Caenorhabditis elegans: one gene and its partners. The protein of the gene in region 3 interacts with the protein of the main gene of each other region in a pairwise test. Each region holds a gene or a part of one and is shown on either strand. Other genes may lie near its edges.

The links. Proteins that work in one complex are often made in the same cells at the same time.
Region 1: the proteins of mus-101 (region 3) and cey-4 interact in a two-hybrid assay, tested with the Caenorhabditis elegans proteins (2 studies listed by BioGRID).
Region 2: the proteins of mus-101 (region 3) and R53.4 interact in a two-hybrid assay, tested with the Caenorhabditis elegans proteins (2 studies listed by BioGRID).

The regions. Positions count from the first base shown.
Region 1 is NC_003281.10:10,866,446-10,872,185, reverse strand, and holds cey-4 (CSD domain-containing protein), read left to right. Parts: upstream 1-3,482; 5' UTR 3,483-3,566; coding exon 3,567-3,618; intron 3,619-3,664; coding exon 3,665-4,277; intron 4,278-4,806; coding exon 4,807-5,026; 3' UTR 5,027-5,240; downstream 5,241-5,740. Other genes in the region: vps-50 (Vps54_N domain-containing protein), read right to left, coding at 167-1,322, 1,972-2,405, 2,453-2,668, 2,717-2,794; oxi-1 (Ubiquitin-protein ligase E3B), read right to left, coding at 5,320-5,740.
Region 2 is NC_003280.10:9,966,777-9,971,254, forward strand, and holds R53.4 (Putative ATP synthase subunit f, mitochondrial), read right to left. Parts: upstream 1,274-4,478; 5' UTR 1,272-1,273; coding exon 1,156-1,271; intron 1,092-1,155; coding exon 848-1,091; intron 802-847; coding exon 700-801; 3' UTR 501-699; downstream 1-500. Other genes in the region: dtmk-1 (Thymidylate kinase), read right to left, coding at 1-41, 89-208, 263-305; psf-1 (putative DNA replication complex GINS protein PSF1), read left to right, coding at 1,905-2,003, 2,050-2,114, 2,183-2,258, 2,310-2,399, 2,445-2,654, 2,735-2,800; R53.5 (Peroxiredoxin-like 2A), read right to left, coding at 2,917-3,038, 3,083-3,302, 3,347-3,478, 3,524-3,709. UniProt on the Caenorhabditis elegans protein: Mitochondrial membrane ATP synthase (F(1)F(0) ATP synthase or Complex V) produces ATP from ADP in the presence of a proton gradient across the membrane which is generated by electron transport complexes of the respiratory chain.
Region 3 is NC_003279.8:10,477,357-10,488,262, reverse strand, and holds mus-101 (BRCT domain-containing protein), read left to right. Parts: upstream 1-3,298; 5' UTR 3,299-3,301; coding exon 3,302-3,343; intron 3,344-3,394; coding exon 3,395-3,526; intron 3,527-3,564; coding exon 3,565-3,713; intron 3,714-3,773; coding exon 3,774-4,017; intron 4,018-4,067; coding exon 4,068-4,211; intron 4,212-4,264; coding exon 4,265-4,497; intron 4,498-4,816; coding exon 4,817-5,104; intron 5,105-5,154; coding exon 5,155-5,305; intron 5,306-5,352; coding exon 5,353-5,596; intron 5,597-6,055; coding exon 6,056-6,218; intron 6,219-6,270; coding exon 6,271-6,457; intron 6,458-6,506; coding exon 6,507-7,051; intron 7,052-7,445; coding exon 7,446-7,653; intron 7,654-7,787; coding exon 7,788-7,940; intron 7,941-7,991; coding exon 7,992-8,351; intron 8,352-8,482; coding exon 8,483-8,674; intron 8,675-8,719; coding exon 8,720-8,845; 3' UTR 8,846-8,961; downstream 8,962-10,906. Other genes in the region: F37D6.3 (BED-type domain-containing protein), read right to left, coding at 941-1,108, 1,158-1,460, 1,511-1,549; row-1 (C2H2-type domain-containing protein), read left to right, coding at 10,168-10,247, 10,299-10,541, 10,685-10,877.

The sequences.
Region 1 (5,740 bases), on a different chromosome or scaffold from region 3:
AAAAATTCCGCAGCAATGACTAAATTTGGAAATTACAGTACCCCTTAAAGGCGCACACCAATTTGTTTACAACAGAAAATTGTAATATTTTTGTAGAATTCGTGGTCGAAATCTTGTATTTTTCACCAGAATTCGAAAAGATCGTGGCGAGACCAAGAAAACTCACCGACGCAAAGAAAAACTCGTATAAATCAATAATCGCTGGTGCAGACTTTGAGCAAAGTGTCGGCAGAAGTGCTGTCATTCGAAGATATCTTCCGAAAAATCTCAAAAGATTCAGAGCAGTATTGCAAAGATTCGGAGGTGGTACACCAGAAGGCTCGTCCAGCGGATCCTCGGAGAAGCTCTCCTGCTTCGTTAGATTCGGATTATAGTTTTCATTTTGAATTTCAGTTGCCGCTGAAGATGTTGAATAGCTCCGTTCAGACTTTTGGCTATAGGATGATTGAAGACGGGATCGGATGGCAGCTTGGCAGAATGGATTCTGCCAATCGTTGCCGATCAGCTCCACGGTTTCTTCCTCACTATTCTCCGATTCTTCTCTGGATTTCGGCGAACTTTCGATTCTAACTGATTCCTTCAAAAACTCGAAGTCTTGCAAATCGAAAATCGTGAACTGAAATGGTACTGGGCACAATGCGAATGATTCGTTTTCGAAGAACATCGAGAGCTCCTCCATTCGCTCGGTATGATATCGGTCAAAGTAGGTCTCGGTCCGTTTTTCAATGGATTCTGCGAGCTTCTGATGGTGTGTGCTGGCGAAATAGGTCTTGCCGATATTGTTGAATCGATTGATGGTATCTACGATGTCAAGAATATGTTCAAACTTTAAACTGACAAAGTCTCGAGATTCAACTAGAACTTGAAGCCTGCGAGTTGCTGCTAGAAACACTTCTGTTCTAGAAGCCAGCAGTTGTTTGTAGATGCTTTGGGATGCTTCACTAGCAGATTCCGAGCTATGGAAATTTAGAATCTTGTGAAACGCCTGGAAACTCCTGCACAGCACAAATCCCATCTCTCGGAAGGTGATGGAAGCCTGCTCGCTGTCCAGCTTCAAGCAAAGACTTGTGTACGAGGAATCTTCGAGACGATCCTCTTCCTTCAGCTTGGATAGGACCACCGCACTGGTTGTGGTTTCGATGGCTTCGACGAAGGCGGTGAGCAGCTTCTCGGCGACTTGCTCGGTTTTCTCCAGCATCTCGTAGGCGGTGTACACGAATCGATACTTCTCGGAATCGAAGACCACAGCGATTGTGGAGAGTTGCGCGGAGAGTTCGGCTTCCAGGAGACAGCTCATTCCGGCGAGCTTTGAGATTACTTCGCTGCAAAATTTTGGTCAGGAAAATCTGTGCTCTTTTCCTTAATGGGTCCCGCAACGATTTTGTGTTAAAAATAGCCGTTCATTCAATTTTGAATCGAGAAAATCCATTTCTCCGGGTTTCTACTTTAAAATTTGATTTATTCTCTACAAATTGTGAAATATTTCACATTATTGAAGTAAGTTCTGAAGAATTTAACATTCAAAAAAGTTAGTTTAAGCCAAATTTGGTCAAAATTTTAAGCTTTTTTAGATTGAATAATTTAAAGTAAGTTTCTACATTTTTCGAACATTTTTTAGTTTTTGAGTTATTAACAAAAAAAATCGTTTTTTCACTTTAAAACTATTTTCCACGTTTAAATTTCAGGCGTTATATTGATTTCCACCTATTTTTGCCCAAAAAATCGGCTTAAAACGGTAAAAAAATGATCATTTTCAACAAGAATAATTCAAAACTTAAAGAAAATGTTTAAAAAATAATTACCATAAACCTTTTTCGCTGCGAGACCCATCTTGAAAAACACGTGCGCCTTTAAAAGGTCTTCGAAAGTTTTTGGGATTTTTAGCTTAAAATGTGAATTTTCAGCCGCTTTTTTCGATTTTTGAGCATTTTTTTTTTCTCATTTTCATTCAAAAATCCATTTAATACTTACTTTACACATGTAAAATGAGCGTATCCCCCGGCTTTTATTTGAGTTTCGATTAGCATTTGAATTGCAAGCGGGAAATTTCCTTCTTCAATAGTTTCTCGAATGTGCTGTTCGGTCTCGTGGAAGCCTTTTATCGTTGTGAGCGTCATTTTCAGCTGATTTAGAACGATTTTCTTATTTTTATAAGCGATTAATCCGAGACACGTCCGAGTTTGGCTTGTCGCCAGCGCGAGCGCTTTTCGTATCGTCAGAATTTCGTTGATAACACTTCCGACTTCGTCTCGGATTTTCTCCATTTCACCGACCTGTGCCGTGTAGGATGAAGATTTTTGCATGATTAGTGTGGATATTTTCTTGGAAACCACAGTATGCTGAGATTTTAGCCGAAACCTCTCGCGCTGGATGTCCTCGTAGCACATTTCGATGTCACAGAGCTTCTAAAAGTTAAAATTTTCGTTTTACTTGGTTTTTTGTTCCACTAAACCTTCAATTCATAGTCAATCGCATCGAACTCATCGTTATCTATAAAATACGCGGCGTCTATCGAGTTGATGACGTCATCTTCCTCGGAAATTTTTGATTTTACTCTCCGAGGCGTTGAGTTTTGTGAATTACTCTCTGGAGCTATTGGAGGGCTTTCCGAGCACGACGGAGCATCGTAAGAGCTCATAACTTTCTCGTTCATATTATCTAATAAAACCTGAAAAGTCGATTTAATATTTGACATTTTCCTTGAAAAAATTCCCACTTTTACATCGCTATCCGAAGAAAATTGTTCGCCTATTTGATTAACAGTTTTTGCTAGTTGTTCCTTAAATCGGTCCATTTCTCGCCAAGCTTTCACCTCTGAAATTGTTAATTTGTTAGTATTTTAATTTAAAAAACCAGCGGAAGCAAGCAAAATTAATTTAAATTTCAAGTAGCAGTATCGATTTTTCTGTAAATCCTGTGAAAAACCACTCGAAAATCTAATTATTCCAATCGATTTTTCCCAAAGAGGAAGCTAAAAGCGGATAAGAAAGAGTAAATCCGAGAAAAAGTGTGCCAGGGTGTTGCGTTTCCTTGCAATGCGCGCGCGTTTCTCTATTGCGAGCACAGCACCATTTTTCAAATAAGACGTTTTCTCCCTTCTTGGCAGTCGATTTTTATTAGTTCTTTCTTATTTTTTGGTGAAAAATTGAAAATTGCCGTCGTTTCTTCGGTTTTTTGGCGTTAAATTGAATATTAAACAGAAAAATTGTGATAATATGAGGAAATATCCTAAAATTCTCGATATATTTCGAAATTGTAAGAGCTTTTTTGCAATATTTCCCCGATTTTTTCCATTAAGTTCGTTCCGATTTCCAATAAATTTGAAAAAAAAACAACGGCGCTTAGCACTTTTTAATCGGATGATAACATTTCCGCCCCATGTCAATTTGACTTATCGATCGTTCTGTCGTGTCATTTTCCACCACACCCTTTGTGTGGCACATTTGCATTCGATGTTTATATTTAATTTTTTTTTTTTGCAGAGTGTAGTTGAGTACAATCAGCTCAGAGGATTTTCCTCACCCCCTTGACACCATCAAAAACTAAGGCCAACGCCGTGAAACATCATGTCGACTGAACAAGCTAACGGAACAACTATTGAGGAGAAGAAGGACAAAGGTGAGTAGGACAGGTGGTCTTCAATATTTAATCCCTCAAATTGCAGTTGCCGAGGTGACCGAGAAATTGGACAACCTGGCCGTCGACACTACCAACGAGGCGAACGATGCAAAGCAGCCAGCACGTCGTGGCGGATTCCGCGGACGAGGACGTGGTCGTGGTCGCGGAGGACACTTCTACCAACCAAGACCACCATATGAGGATCAGATGAAGAAGCTCGAGGAGGATCTTGCATCGAAGAAGGTCATCGAGACCGGTGTCAAAGGACACGTCAAATGGTTCTCCGTTCGTGGACGCTACGGATTCGTTGCTCGTGATAAGCCAACCGACGAGAATGAGGACTTCTTCGTCCATCAGACCGCCATCACCAAGTCAAGCACCATTAAGTTCTATCTCAGAACTCTCGATGACGATGAGCCAGTCGTCTTTGACATTGTCGAAGGACTCAAAGGACCAGAAGCCGCCAACGTGACTGGACCAGATGGGGAGAATGTTCGTGGATCGAGATTCGCTCGTACTTTGCTCACCCATTGGAGAACAAGAGGACGTGGTGGTGCACGAGGACGCGGTGGACGAGGACGTGGTGCTCCACGTCAGACACGTGACCAGGACGGAGATGAGAAAGATGAGAAGGAGAAGTCGGACACCATTGAGAATAGGTTAGTCTAGCTTTTAGTAACGGTTCTGGTGTTTTTAGGCTCAAAATGCGCTCAAATAAACCGATTTATTTAAAAAAAAAAATGAAAAATGGGCTGAAATTAAGTAAAATCTCAAAGTGGCCGCCGAAAGTTGATATTTTCGGTATCATCTGCTTTTATTGCATATTTTAGTCGTTTATCTCATATTAGTTCGTTGATTTTTGGCATTTTTGGTTACCTATTGGTGTAAAAACTACTTTAATCAACGAAATAATGTGAGATAAACGAGCAAAATATGCAATAAAGGTAGATAATTCCGAAAAAAAAAATCATTTTTGGACAGAAAGTGGCCAAATTGGACGTTAGCCCATTTTTTCAAATTTTAAAGAAGTTTTATTATGCAATTTGCACATTTTGGGTCTATACCAGGGGTGTGCGGCAAATCTCAAAATTTGCCGAGCTCGGCAAATTCGGCAAATTTGCCGCACACCCCTGGTCTATACGTTCCATTTAAAACTGGAATTTTAACTCTAAAATTACAATTTTTCAGCGGAGACGGAGAAACTCGCGGAAAGCGTCGCACTCGCCGCCACGGAAAGCTCCAGCCAGATGCTCCATCCGGCGAGAAGGGAGACGGTGATGCTGCCGCTGCCACTACCGATGCTGCTCCAGCCGCCGAGAAGAAGAAGAAACGTCAGCGCAAGGGAAATAAAGAGCCCACCACCACCACTGAGCAGAAGGAAGAGACCGCTGCTCCAGCTAAAGCTTAGGCTTCTAGCTGTTGACACCTACCATCAACTTTTGTTATCTAATTAAACACCTTTTGTATTGAGAACAGTCCCATTTCTTGAATTGTATAGCTGATCCTTTCGAAAAGCCCAAAATTTCCAAAATTTGTTCTGCACGATTTATATCCACTCAGTTCTTTGGAATTCAATTTCGAGAACTTTTTGAGTTTATATTAAGTAAAAGTTTCAATGCAAATGATTCTGTTCATTGTTTTATAGAAATCAAATTCAAACTACCAGTAAGCAATAAAAATATGTAATAAATAATTAGGAATTTAGGAAAGCTCGAATCCAGTCCCAGCGTGGATCGCGTAACGAAGTTTCTCGAGCAGCAGTGACTTCTTATTGTAATTCGGAAGCTTTAGCAAGTTAAAGCAGGTGGACGCAGTTGGAAGTCGAGTAGCTGCAGTTCCCTTTCTCAAAGCCAAGAATCCACGAACCACACTTCCCAAGGTGTCTCCCTGATCCTGATCGTCGGAAACTTCAACGCATCGAATGGAGAAGGGCGGCTCGAGATACGAAAATCCAAGAACAGGAGGTCTCGAGCAAGAAGTGACAAACTTTAGGAACAGTTTCCTCTCTTCTGAAGTGAACTTGTTCTCAAGAATATCCCAAAGCCATTTAATAAGCCGATGGTTTCCATGGAATCCTCCGAAATATTGCACATTGCGCTTCAGATCCGCCAGATCGATGTCT
Region 2 (4,478 bases), on a different chromosome or scaffold from region 3:
GAGATATTGATCAATTAGCTTTCCAATTGAAGAGGAACGATCTGAATTTTTGAAAATAAAAAAATATTTTTTAATTCTCTAGTTAAACCTGGAAAAGCTTGAAGAACGGCTGATGGGGAAGATGAAGCATCTCCGGATTCTGTGGATTTTTTGTTGATGGACTCAACGAGTCGCTTGGCTTGTGTCGACTTGCCGGACCGATCGAGCCCTGTTAAAATATTAAAATATTGATATTTCTTTAAAATTAAGCTAAATCAAATACCTTCGAATACAATCAGGAGCCCTCGTTTCTGATCAGTAGCCATAGGTGAAGAGATGAGGCTCTGGAAATAAGACAGCATGGAGAAATATAAAATAAAATAGAAACATGAAGACGCGCTTCTATAGAATCGGAACTTTAGATCTACAGATTCAAATCTAAAGATAAAGCCGACAGCGAAAAAATCCAGAAAATCGCATCGGCTATCTAACCTTCTTCTTAATATTTCTATTCAACCGATCCATACACTATTTATTCTCTCATAGAAAAAAGACACAAACGGACAAAATCGATAGGGGACTAAATTAACAGAAGACGTCTCGAGAATGAGATGAATTGGGGGAAAAAAGAATACGAAAAAATCGGATGGCTGTTTCGTCCTCCCCCAGCGACAGAGTTTGTATGTGGAGCTTTGAAGAGTAGACGAAATCGGATGGTGTCTACCAATGGTACATCGTCTTCTGGAAATCGACGTAACGGTGAGACTTGACGAGCCAATTGAGGAACGAGTAGGCGAAGATGAAGCGGAAGATTACCTTGACCTAAAAATAAAAAAAATTAGTATTTTTTTTTTAAATTTAAACGAACAGTGTTATTGTAGACTGGTCCTGAGTAATAGAGGTTGTGGACTCTCCAGATATTGCGCATGAACTCGTTGTAGAAGGCAGATGGGGTCTTCTCACGACGAGCCATCCAGGCTGGAAGATCTCCTAGCTTCACATCCATGAACTTGGTATCAAGCTTTCCGTAGTATCTCCAGTGGCAGTATGGTCCGTGAACGTTCTTGTTCCATCTCTTGTCGAACAATCCAACCTCGGTCTTGTTCAACACGCTAAAAATTATATCGGTTATTTTTGGAAAAGAATTTTATTCGTCGTTTTCAGACAATGACAAACCGGTTGTAGAAGAACACTCCGACACGCTCAACGGCGCGAGAGATCGGGATAAAGATCGCGTCCGGAACCCATGGTCTGAGTTGAGTGTGTGGTGGTGGAGGACGGAACCAGGCCATAACTGAAAATTCGAAGAATTAAAAAAATAAAAATAAACCAGATATTTAATTAAATAGTGAGAATCGAGTAACGATTAAGCCAAATAATCAATAAACAAGAAATTAATTAGAAAAACAACCAAAACAGGCATTTTGTTCAATTTAGCAAATATACACATGAATATCAGGAAGAATATACATTTAAAAAAGAACGTTCCAGCTCCAATAATCCTTAACTATGTGCTAAATATTGTTTTAAATATAAACATGTATTTTTGTAAACATTGATCATTATCGACCATGGGATTACGTTTCAGTAACGCCTAAAACGAATTTAACTCAGAATTTAGTGATATATTTGATTTTAGAAGAAATTAATTGAGTAAATAATGAAAAATCGTCAATATTCCACTTTTAAAAAATGCTTAAGAAAAATGTGTGCAGTTTTCAACGGGCGGCGATACATTTCGGCTAATCGCTGCGAGACCCATGGCCGTGGCCGAGTCTACAACTAGTTCACAAGAGCCGAAATGGTGGGAAAGTCGAGGACTTTAAATTTAATGTTTTTTATTTTCGAATTTAATATTTAAAATCAAGTATTTCCCTTTAAAATTTTATTTTTCAAATCAACTTTTAATTTTTGCAGTTCAAAAAATGAGTTCCGGCGATCAGAATCGAGGAGGCGTCGCCGACAAAGCACTACAACTTGTTTTAGAGATGAAAAGAAATCCAGATGTATTACCGCCTTATAACGTAAAATTATATCCTATTTTCTGCTTTAAATTTGAGTTCTTTTCAGACAGAACTTGTACGCCAATGTTATCAGAAAATCGATGAGTTGTTTCAAAAGAATGCTGCCGTCGTGTAAGTGATACATTTCGGAAGCGTACCGATTCGTTCGTGACTTCTTGATTTAAAATCATATTTTTCAGTGAAAAAATCCGTGCAGGACTCCCTCATGATTCTACGCTTCTTCAACCTCGTTTAGCTGCAATGTGCCATATTCGAGTAAGTCGAGAAGGTCGATTTTTGAAATATTGTAGTGGTTCAATTTTCCAGCGTTGCATGATGGCCTATGTGAACGAGAGGAAAAACAGGATTCGATCATTCAGATGGAAGTATGGAGGTGCTCTTCCCGCGTCTGTTAGGGTAATCGGTGCACATGATTAAAATTTGTCAACCATTATTTTTCAGAACGCCCTCTGCGATGCGGAAATTCAGTTTTTCAATGAGTATTCGAGCACATTGGCAAGATTCCAAAGCAATCTTGGAGAAGGTGGTGTTAATCTGCTGCTTCATTCTGCACCACCGAAGTCACTTTTTGTACAAGTTAGAGCTCTCGAGGATTATGGAGAATTTGAAACGTCAGATGGAACTCAAGTTCAGCTGTCCAAGGATAGTTTGGTAAGTCTTCGAATTTTTCTTTATTTGAAAAAAGAGAAATCCCGTTTTTAATTTTTTAAATAATGTATAACATTTTTCAGCACTCCCTTCCACGCCAAGACTGCGAAATGCTGATACGTCAGGGTGTTCTCGAGCTTGTTCATTGACTTGTTGTCGGTATTTTGTTTTCAACCTGTGATCTGTATAAATAGCTTCTTGTCAGTTTATTTTACAAAAAAAGTAGCCTCGTTTAATTAATTAAGAAAACACATAAGTTAAAAAATTATTTCGACTTCTCCGAGAATTTCTCGACGGCAGCACGAACTTCCTTGATATCGGCAGCATCTCCCCACTCCTTCTCCAAATGAGTGAACACGATGTCGTTGTTAGCAATCAAATAAACACCTGAACAATTATTATGAAAAAATAATTTTAATAATTTTTCGTACCTCCCAAAAGTCTTCCCTCTCCTTCCATGTTTCCCTCGACCTTGGCTTTCTTTGCTTTGTAAACATTCGAGTAAGTTCCGAAACGAAGAAATCCCATCCAAACTGGCAGCCAGCGTTCGTTTGGACCGTAGAAAGTGCGATCAGTGTCCAAATAGACATCACCGCCGGAGAACCAAGACTTGAACTCATTTGCTCCACGAGTCTCGTGCACAACGGCGGCCTGAAAGCAAAGTTTTAATTTTTCTATTTTGAAGGAGCGCTTACCAGTTCGATTCCTTTTTCCTTGAGCAACGGGAGCAGTGTGTGCAATTCAGCAGCTTCACGACGGCACAGCATACATCCCGGACGACGTACAGCCATCACCATGATCGGACCTTTCTTGAACAACGAGTCGGCCTGAAACTTCTCAAATAATTTTAATTTTAGAGTGAAAATGTTTACCGTAAACTGCTCATTTCTCTCCACAACTTCTTTTTCCTTCGGTCCACCACGAATTGGGACAAGTTTTGCGGCCGCCAAATGAGCAAAGGTTGGAGCAACAGCTCCGATTGTCAAATAAGTGGGAAGATTCGCGTAAACGAGAGCTCCGCCGAGAGCAGCGGCAGCTCCATAACCGAGAAATGCCATTTTCTGAAAGAAGAAGCTTTGGAAACTTGGAGTTATTCGAAAAAATGGTGACCACTTTGAAAATGCACATTAGAGACATTATTTTTGAATCGTCACAGCAAAATGAAATGCTCAGAAACTCGTAATTTAGTGAAATTCGCTATTACGGCCTTTTTTCAGTGTTTAGTTTTTTCTCAAATGAAAAGAAATTGAACTTAACATTTGGCTGACTAGTGAGTTCGTCGCGAGACCTATTCAGAATACTGTATGCGTCTTTAAAGTGAAGTGTTAAGTTTTGAAGTAATTATGATACAACTTTTTTTTCGTGGAAACTCAGTAAAAAATCGTCTAAAAATAAAAGAATAAAAAGAATTTCTGTTGGGAAAAGTTGTGTATGTGAAAAATGGTAAACAAGTTAGAGTGTAGTGTCTTATGGAAATAGTATGCAATTCTGAGAGAACGCATAGAAAAACGCTGATAAACACTTTTTGGTCGATGAGCTCTAGGCGTTCGAGTTTTTTTTTCTTCAAAAAACACCAGAAATCTCAATTAATCTGAATTAATCTGAAATATAAAATTTCTATGAACTTCAGATATCATTTTGTTCTGAAAATAATCACTCTACAACACATTGTTTTAAATACTCATTTGAAGAAGGAACAACTTCAGAATTCAAGAACAGTTGAAAATCGGGGGAAACATCAATTTGAAACAGGAAAAGAAGGAACAGAAGAAACCGAGAAAATAAGTACATTATTATGGAAGTGCATGTGATTTGTCAGGAGGCATG
Region 3 (10,906 bases):
ACTTTATTGACAGAACACTTTCCAAAAAATTCTATTACAGACATTATTGGAGGAATGAAACAAGAATTAAGATTTGATATTTCGAATATTGGGAGGGAGCTTATAAAACTTTGGATATCAAATTGTTTGCATTGTGAATTTGAAAGAACCTATTTTGAAAGAAATTTCTCGCGCAACTGGTGCAATAAAGTCGATGCAATAAAATGAAAGGAATGAATGAAGACAATGCGTTCTATCGAATCTTATAGTCTCTGGGTCAGATGGCTGGGAAACAATCGATTCCTTCGTTTCTCAATGTCAATCGACTGATCCATCCACCTGTCGATGTTAAGTAACACTTTATGTGTCAATATACATGTGTGAATATATGTAGAGACAAAAAGTGGTTGATTGATTTCACTTTTGACACAGGCGACATCACAGTTACCAGTGTCCAGGACTGCTCGGCAAAACGTCGCAACTTCATAGCATACTCCTGCAACTCAATAAAAACATTTGTATAACTTTGTAAAAAGCAGTTAAGAAGTTGCGAAAACCCACGGGATTGTGAGCGAAATTTAGCTTTACATCTGTTAAGAAATTGCAAAAGTCGTCTGAAAAGCTGCAGAAGTTTGCTTAAAAGCTAAAATGCCTAATTGTTGTTAAGAAGTTGCAAGAGTATGCTATGAAGTTAGGCCGTTTTGCCGAGGGCCATACACGTGGTTGAACAATATTTGCCCAGTTTCGATCATTCCCACTAGACTAGGACTTAATACAAATTAATTTTACGGAGAGAGAATGGTCTCATCAGTAGTGACTCTCTCTCCAATACCGGGAAGAGTGAATTCAGAAAGTGCGTAATACGCAACATATTTGACGCGCAAAATATCTCGTAGCGAAAACTACAGTAATTCTTTAAAAAACTACTGTAGCACTAATCCGATTCTGCATTTTTTGTTATTCATATAGATGAAAAAAACAAAATGACAATGAAAACAACGAAAGATGAAATATCGATGTTCCAGGGCTGTGGTGGTCCACGTGGCCCTTCTTGCGGATTTTGTGGATATCCCATGCAGTTTTGGGAGACACCAGCGTAGATGCGATCACCAAGAAGATGATTTTGCTCCTGAAAAAGTTTAACATTAAATTAAGTATTGCAAAACAAGTAAGCCTACCTGAGGAGCGGCAGCAGCCAACATTGGGTAGACACCTGGGCCTTGAGCCATCATATGTTGGTTTTGGACTGGATACCGATTGTATTCGAAATTGGGATCTTGTCCAGCTTCGCCTTGAGCCCGGTAGTCTTGATACCGAACTTCTTTAGAGAAGGAATTATATGTCTTTCGGTGGCGTCGTTTGAAGTGCCTTATGGCTCCGGGCGCATGAGGAAGCGTGACAGATGCGTTGTTTTGGCGACAGAGTCCACACTGAACAGAAGACCCGTCAGTCCATAAGAACTCTCTTGGGATCAGCGCGTACTGCAAGAAATAGAAAATGAAAACCAATAAATAATAAATAAATTGATTACAATCTTTACGCTGATTTCATAAGGCATTTCGTCACTCATCTTGTCAGCGAATCTGTAATTTATGAAAGTTAAAAATGGGCATTTTAGCTTCGTAAATAAAATCATATAATAGAAGTAAGAGATAGATAAAAGGTTTAAAATGACCTGTTTTTTTCAAGAAAGTATGGAAAAAACTGATCAAGAATCGAGCCGTTGAGCCGTATGAAAAAAAAAAAAACTTCCGAGTTTGAAAACACAATCGCATAAATTTTCCGCTCGCGCCGTAAACTGGGGACAAACAATTTTTGATCTATTCTAAATGTTTTCATGTCTGAAACTGAAATTGACATAATTTTGACCGAAATTTTTCGAAATAAACTAATTTTACACCATGAAATTGAAGAAGACAAAGACATTTTCAAAAGATTTTACAAGTTTTATGGAATATTAGGAAAAAAGATTTCCAAGCCTCTTGACTACGGTATTAATTAGCAATCGTGGTGAGACCCAGCAACAACATATTGAATAGGTCCTTTAAGACCAACAGTTTTTAAAGGTTTTTTATTCATCACGTGTTTTCAGCTCGACCATTCGGTGTAATTTGTGCAAACACCGTCACGCGCAAATGCAGACTTTTGCACGCGCTGCGGTGAAATTCCTCTTGGGGAATTCAAATATTTTTTCCCGCCTTTTTGTGAAAATTTTCGAGGCGTTGGTCGAGCTGAATACACGTGTTCATTTTACATTTTTAAAAATATGTTTCCGGTGTTTTCGGTGTTAATTGAAAATGTTAATTGGGCCGGCAAGCTTGAAGATTTTTGACATGAGAAATTTAGGATATTGGCGGCTTTCCAGATTACGGTATGCAACGTAAGCAAACAAACACTTCACGTAATTTTGCAGATCCACGGAAAATTTATAGTTTACTTTTTTTGAGACCCAAAGAACTCGGGGGATGTCCAATTGGGGGGATTACCAACTCGGGGGATTGGCCCCGCCCACAGAACCGTGGCTTGCAATACGCCCATTTCTGCAACTGCCGCACGGTTTCGAAACTGTATTTTTCTCAATAGAGCGAGAATTAACAAGAAAAATACAGTTTCAAAACCGTGCGGCAGTTGCAGAAATGGGCGTATTGCAAGCCACGGTTCTGTGGGCGGGGCCAATCCCCCGAGTTGGTAATCCCCCCAATTGGACATCCCCGAGTTCTTCGGGTCTCCTTTTTTTTTACTTTTTTTTTACATCAACTTCCGGTAGAATCTCGAAATTTTGGGTGTTGTTGAACTCTTCATCCTTTCCTCGCTAATATGAAAATGTATCGTCATTTTTCAGTATGTGAAAATGTATCGTTGAACCTTAAATCCAAAAAGGACAATACTTACGCGCGATGATACTTGGAAAATAGGAAGTGGTTTTTCCGATGATTTTTTCGGAAAAGTTTTTAAAGAGAAACTGCTATATAATTTTCATTCAAATAGAGATGCTATAAGCCGCTGTTCCGTACAGTTTTTGGCTTTGAGATAATTTAAATTACTCTGATCAATTGTTTTCTCCATGTTCACATTTCCATCTTCCAGATTGAACTCTTTTCACAAATTTCTTCATACAAATGAGAGAAACTGTCAGCAGTTCTGTTATTCAGAATATCGAGAGACGCAGACAGTCATACCACTTCCCGTCGTGTCTGTTCGCATTTCACACGCGCGAAACTGTCATTTTTGAACTTAATGTTAACACCCTACCCTGCCAATTCTTGAGTTTTTTACTGGCGAAATTAGCTTTTTTTATTATCAAAATATTCCAGATTTTACAATGGAGGCACCTCCGGCCCCGAAGAAGGCACGAAGGAGTGAGGTAATTATATCTGATTTTCAACAATTTTAATATCAAAACTTCAAATTTCAGGTCAGTAGGATGCAAGACGAGTCGGTGCTTTGCGATGACGATGAAGAAGATTCTCCGTTCACATTGTACTTTGTCGATCTTCCCAATGAACCAACAGTCAAAGAAATTCGCAATTTAGAAGAGTTATTCAAAGTATTGCGTTATTAATTTATTTATTTTTCAAGTTTTAGGCGTATTTTCAGACTGCAAAAGCTGTGGGAATCATGCCAGAATGGATTGATTCAGATGCACTCGAAGATCTGCAGAAATCTGAAGACTTTTTCGTTTTACCCTGTTTCCGCGGAAAGCTTTTTCGAAAACTTCAAGCCCGGAAATTGAAGTTTGTGTTAAATTAAATTCAAATAAATTCAAGTCCACAAAATAAAATTACAATATTCAGAGTATACGGTCCTCCAATTGTTCTTGAAAGTATCGAAGATGGGAAGCAGCTCCCACAATGGAATCATCCAGTGTATTCCAGTGTTTTTCAAGACGTAAAAATCAGTTTCACCGGGTTGAATCTTACGAAAAAGCAAGAACTCTACGAAAAAATCGGATGGATGTGTGGAGTGGTTGGAGATGCTCTATATCACGAAACGACTCACCTAGTAACTGAAAAAGCAGAACAGACGGAAAAGTATAAGGTTAAATAGTATATCAAGCAGAAATTTAAAATAAAATAAAAAAATTCCAGGCTGCTGTCAATAATTCAATCAAATTAATGCGAATCGGATGGATTGATGATCTCTGGGAAACTTCTCAAACCACAATGGGCAGATTTAGTGCTTTATCGCGGGATTCAGTTAATTCCTATGCATTGAGAGTTTTTGAAGGGCTCGTGAGTGATCGAAATCATGAATTTGAATTTCAGTTTTATACATTTAAATTCAGGAAATGGCAATCACATCGATCGACGGCGCTGATCGTACCAATTTCATTCAGCTGATTGAAGATCACGGAGGAAAAGTGCCTGGAACCATGTCAAAAACCAGATGTAGCTATCTTATCAGTGATAAAATTACTGGAGTAAAATATGCAAAAGCTGTTGAATGGAAATCAATGCAAATTGTGCAGTCTCGATGGATTCGGAAATGTGTAGATTTAGGACATCTTGTAGATGCGGGGTTCGTTTTTGAGAGGGAATTGGCTCAAATCAAGCGACATTCATTCAAAAAACATTAAAAAATCCGAAAAAGAGGAACATTTTGCAGAAAAAATATATTCTTAAATCAACGAGCTTACGCGAGATAAGCTATCAAAACATGCAATAAAAATTTAGGATTTAATAAAAACTGCGACAATGACAGGAAAATGAAAATTCCGTTTTTAGCAAAATAATCCTTTTTTTTCAGTTTTTTTTTCTGTGTTTCATTATAAAATTTGCTCGTTTTTGGGCGCTCTACTTTCCATTCAAATGATGTTGCCAGAAAAAGCGTTTTACAGAAAATATCATCCAAAATATTTAACGGCTGATCATATTCGATCTTCCACCCCGAAACGTGATGCTAATGTGACTGAAAGTGTGCCGGATATCTCATCAATCGCTGGACATGGAGGTCGTTTGGGTACATCTTCATTCAATTCTTCTATTCCACAAATGGATCAATCATATCAACATCAATCAGGATCTTCGTTTATTTCATTTGCTTCTACGTCAAAAATCCCGTCGAGTACTTTTACGAATAATGATTCAACATTAGGAAGATCTGGAAGCGGAGTTAGAGATGGAATGTATGTGAAAACGGAAATTTTAGAAAGAACAATGAATTTTCGATATTCAGATCAACTCCAATAGCTCGAGTTCAAACTACTCCACTGATTCGATATCCAACTACTCAAACAGCATCCGTTCAAAATATTGCTGACGTTATTTCTGATCCTATCGATGAACTTCGAAAAAATATTGACGATGGACTTGGAGATCTTTTTGAAGTTTTTTTTTTCTATTCTTTAAATCAAAATTAACATCAATTTTTCAGAACTGCATGTTCTATATATGTGGAGTCGACGAGTCTCGAATGGAAAAATGGCGTCGATTTCTGAACGAGACTGGAGCAACGCGTGTCGCAAAATTCACATCAGCAACGAATGTGGTTGTAGTTTCGCCGAATCAACAAGAACGAATTACCATTCGAAAACACCTTCATCAAGAAGATATTGCAATTGTTACTGTTGGATGGGTGGTCGAGTGTGTCAAACAGCGGAAAATGATTTCAGTGGAAGGTCTCAGCACTTTTACAACATCCTCTTTCTCTTTCGAAGTTTTTTTTCGGAAATTTGTAAATAGAGAAATATTTGTATTTTCTGAAGAAAACTTCATCTTTAATTAATAGCTTCGATAAGTTGCTTGAAGATTTCAGTTTAAAACTGAATTTTTTTTTAACTTCGAAGTTTCGTTTTACAAAACTTTTTTTTTCTCATCAACATAAACCTATTTTTGACATATCTCCCAATTTTTTCCTTATAATTTCGATGTTCTCAAAAAACACCAAAATATTTCGACGAAACTTTTGATGCAACTTCTCAAAACTTAACTGAAAATAAAGTTATCTTCAGAAAATAACAAATATTTATAATATATGTATGATTCTCCGGAAAAAAAAACTTCGATACAACAGTGAACCGAAAAAAGTGTCGAATACCTCTGGATGGAACGAACAGTTTAACTATTAATTTTTTCAGGTTATCAATGGACTGAAAATACAGCTGATGAATCACAATCTTCTCAATCTCAACTGCAACCAGTAAGACCTCAGCCTCTTCCCCGGACCTCGTCTAAATCAACCATTCCATATGGTAAAACATCAGGACCAAGCTCTACTTCAACTCAAGTCGGAATTTTCTCGTACGATTGTATTTTATTTTTTTATGTTCCTTTTCCATATTCTCATTTTCAGATATCACACGTATTGTGTCCATTGTTCCGTCGATCAAGAAGTTTCTGATGATTTGAAAGAGAAAATTCCGTTGAATGGAGGCAAACTGATGGACGATCCAGATTATGCGGAGTTTGTGATTTTCGGACATTCTGGACCAATGCACGAGTTGATTTCATTTGATGCTGTTGTCACGGATTTTTATATTGTAAAGATTGAAACCTGACAATATGCCAGACAATATATTTATTTTTCAGTACGCGAGCATCGGAAACAACAGATTTCTCAATCGATCGTGTTATCCATTATTTGTACCACTTCCCCGTCCTCCAATTCTAATTTTCAATCAACGTGGCTTCCAATTAAAATGCAAAGATCCATTTCTCCGTGATCGTGTAAGAGATATTATCGAGGACAATGGAGGAAGAATTGTGGAGCAGTTGGAACCAAAGGATTTTATTATTATGATTGATGCAGAAGACAATCCACCAAGATACCATTCCCGAACACTCGATTTTTCATGGATTATAGCCAGTGTGAGCAGATGTCGATTGCAGCCAATTGATAACTTCCTGTATAAGAACAACACGAGGCCTCTAAGTGGATTTCAACGAGACGATGATCTCTGGGAAAAGTGTTCTCGAGAGAAGAATAATAGTACACAAGAAATGGAAGTTGAGGTTGAAGATAGACATCGAGTACAGGATCTACCAGTAGAAACTGGGAATGGGAACATCGGTGACATGACGACCCCCTATGTGAATCCTTATTTCCCCGATCTTCGAAAGCCATATACGATGAAGTGAGTTTTCTGGTTGCAAATTATGAAAATTGTGAAATTCTAAATTTTAACTACCGTAATTTGTAGGTTATTGCGATTTTCAAAAAAAGAAATGTGTATTTCAGCATTTTGTGCAACTTTTTCTCTATTAATAAGCTTTTCCTGGAGCTTCATCTCAAAAATATTGTTGATCAGGTTTTTTGAAATGTATATTTTAAAAAAGAAAAAAAACATGAGACATTATTACATTAAATTTTGAAGAATCGGGAGAATATTTCTCCGGACCGTATTTTCGGAGCATTTTTGGGAGTTATAATGGTAATATCTTAAACTCATTTAGATATTTCTGAAAAAAAAATTTAGTTGCAAAACTTTAAAATAACACATAATTTGTCAATGTTATCCAATTTTATAGCCTCCAACTCGACGGTGTTAGCGAATACATCAACAATATGGAGTCACCGGCACGTGAAACACAGGAAACGCTGACAACTTCTCGAGTTGGAAGCATCCTTCGAAAAGCTGTCGTGAACACTGGAAGAAACGAAGATTTCGAGGATGAGCCTTCCACGTGCCACCTAATTCGACCCAGAGTTCCAGAAAATCGAAAAACTGTCTCTAGTGTATGGCATTTCTGTTGTATATCACCGTTAGAAGATTTAATAGTTTCCAGTATTGTCCGAATAGTTTAAGGAATTAAATATATTAAACTCATAGCCAGCTTATTAAAACTATGAGATAAATGTGTATTTTTCAGACTCCCGTTCTTGTTCGTGATGTAAACCGTTCAATGAGATATATGCCAATGGATGAATCATTCGCAGATCAAAATCAAGAACACGAAGATCTGAACCGTCGATATGCAATGAATCCACGTTTTTTGCTCAGTGTTTCTAATATGGATCCTCAAGTTAGATTTCTTAAGTTTTGATTTTCAATTCTATATATTTGTTTTTTTCAGCGAGCCGCAGATCTACAAGAAACTATCATGAAGCTTGGTGGTACCATCGAACGTGAATTCAATAAAGATGTGACTCATCTGATTGCGAGCAACATGCAAAGAGCTCCAAAAGTTCTTTGCTCAATTGCAGCTGGAAAATGGTGTCTAACACCTGATTATGTGACTAAAAGTGCTGAAGTTGGTCGATGGCTCGATGAAAAATCATTTGAGTGGACTCGAGAAAAGTTGTTGGCGTGTTCGAAAAAGAACGAGTCCCTCAAAGAACGAGATAGTCGGAAAGTTTCCGAGAATCTAGCAGCTGTTTGTGGATTATGGAGGCAACGTGTGGCAGAGATGCCGGTTACATTTTCAGTTAGCATGGTCAGTTTCTAGATATGTAGCTTTCTGGCTTTTTGGGTCAATTTCTGAATTGAAATTTAAATTTACTAGAACCAAAAACATTCAAAACTCACTAGTCTGCTCAACCTGTTTGAAACGGGCAAATCTTTCAGGAGAATCGTCAAAATGGAGCATTCTCGGATTGGCGTTGCGTAATTCATCTCGACGATAAGAGAGCTGGCGTATTTTCATCGATTCTGGAAGCCGGTGGTGCCATTGTTCATTCGATTTCCGAGTATGTAGAAGTATCTACACTTAAGCCTAACATTGTTTTGGCATCCAAAGAGTTCCCATGGAATCCTCAGGTAAATTAAGAAAATCTCTTCGATAAAATTTATTCAAATTTTAAGAGCGCTGTGTTGCTGAAACGTGATAATATTCCGATCTACGTCTTCGACATCCTTTACGACTTCCTAATCGACAGAGATAATCTAAATCGAACCAAGTTTTGGCATAATGTCTACATGAAAGCATGAGCCATTCCGATTTTCTAAATGTGCTATATATTTTTAATTGGTTTCATTTTTTGTCTTTTTTAAATTTCTAGTGATTGTTTCAATTTTTTGTTTCGTAAAGTTTTCAATAATTTTGCTTGTCCTCGTTGCTTTAATTTATTTTGAATCGTTTAAATAACGTAATTTTATTCTTCTCGTTTCATTTCTTATAAGAGAATATCTTTTCAAACAAGTGGGAAAACGCGCGCAGCTGCCTCTCATGCCATATGTTCCCGCTGTCTACGGTTTGCACAACGGGAAAATAATCAATAAATTACTTCCATTCTCTTGCACTACCCTTTTTGCAATTACGCTCTAGTGAATGGTTTTCTTATGTATTTTTTGGATTAGTATTTGAAATTTTAACAACGTTTCCAGAAATTTTGGTTTTAGTCCCACACCAAAATATCTTACTTTTAAAATTCTTCAAAAGGTATTTGAATTTCGGAGCTTATTTGTTACAATACATTTAATGTTTTAACGAAAGTTTCGCTTATACATATGTCATATTTCCACTGAAAAAATCAATAATTTATTTAAACTTAATCATTTCAATCAGAAACCGTGCGCAGATAGAAAAACAGGTCACAGTTTTACTCAAAAATAATGTATTATATATTTTAGAATTCACAGCACTTTTTGGAATAGCTTTTTTTGATTTGATAGTGTACGATTTTCATGTATATTGATCTTTCAGCTCGCCATTTGATCTCTAGGAGGCGCAATGTAACTTCACATATTTCAAAAATAGATTTGGCGCGAGTTCTGGAGATCATACAACAGACTTGAATTTTTAATGTTATCTCGAGAAAGATCTTTAACTAAAATTTTCAAATCAATATTATTTGGCTCTGTTTATTTAGTACATTTCAATCAAGAGCCAGCTCTCTCTGTCAAATAAAAACGACTTATTATTGATTTCACATCTTTAGATTTAGATTTGAAATATCTAAGTTTCAGAACGAAAAGTTCTAGTTTTAGACCTGATATTTCTGAACCAAGTAATTCTAATCCTCCGATTTCACAATTTCCTATCTAATTCACATTTCTCCCATGCTAGCTCGTGGAGCAAGCTCAATTGAAAACATGAAAGTGCGCCCCTCCGCCACACATTTCGCTTCCGTTTTCTCCCTCTCTATCCATTCTGCGTCTCTTGAATAGGCGCCCGACGTCTTCATTCCACCCTCACTCCCCTGATCAACGGATCGATTCTTCGGAATTCTCTTATTTTCTCTCTCTCTCTTGTATTCTCGTAATATCTCGTTTTTAGAACACTTCCAGTCAATAACCAACAAGAAAATTCAATGGCAGAAGTAATCACACTTTCCGACGATGACGACGATGTAATTCCTTTGACGCCTAGACCTCCCGTCGTTCTGAAAACGTATGTAGATCAACCGTTAATCACTTCGAAATCGATCTACCGTATTTTCAGCAGTACGACAGCAAATCATGGTAACAACAGTCAAGCAACAGTTCACGTTTCGACTGGAAAAAATTTGAATTTTGATCAGATCGGAATAAGAAGGCTCTCAGACGTCTACAATAAGAATCAGCCTGCGTTCCGAGGAAATGAAATTCCCACAGGAATTCGAAATTCGAGGCCTTCATTGCCTGCGACAGCTATTCTTCAAAATCCTCAATTTCTAGTACAACTAGCGGCAAAAGGTCTAAAAAGGTAACCAATATGGGAGTAGACAAATAAATTTTCATTTACACATTTTAATAAGTTTCTAAAAGGTCTTATAGTACCATTTTGAATGCTTTAGATTAATTTCTCAAGTCGGACTAGATGAATTTAAATTTTTGCGATTTTTGTAGACCATTTTCATCTGTCCACAGTACACCGGCGGTCGTCCCATCTACATCAATACAACGAACACGAAACAATCAGAATGCCGGAAATACTCCGAACATTTACAAAGGACATTATATGTTCGAAGCAACTGAGAGTTATGAACCATCACGAAGATCTTCTAGATATAACACAAAGAAAATCGAGGGAAAATTCATGGTAGGCTAGGAGATTGCAGATTGAAAACT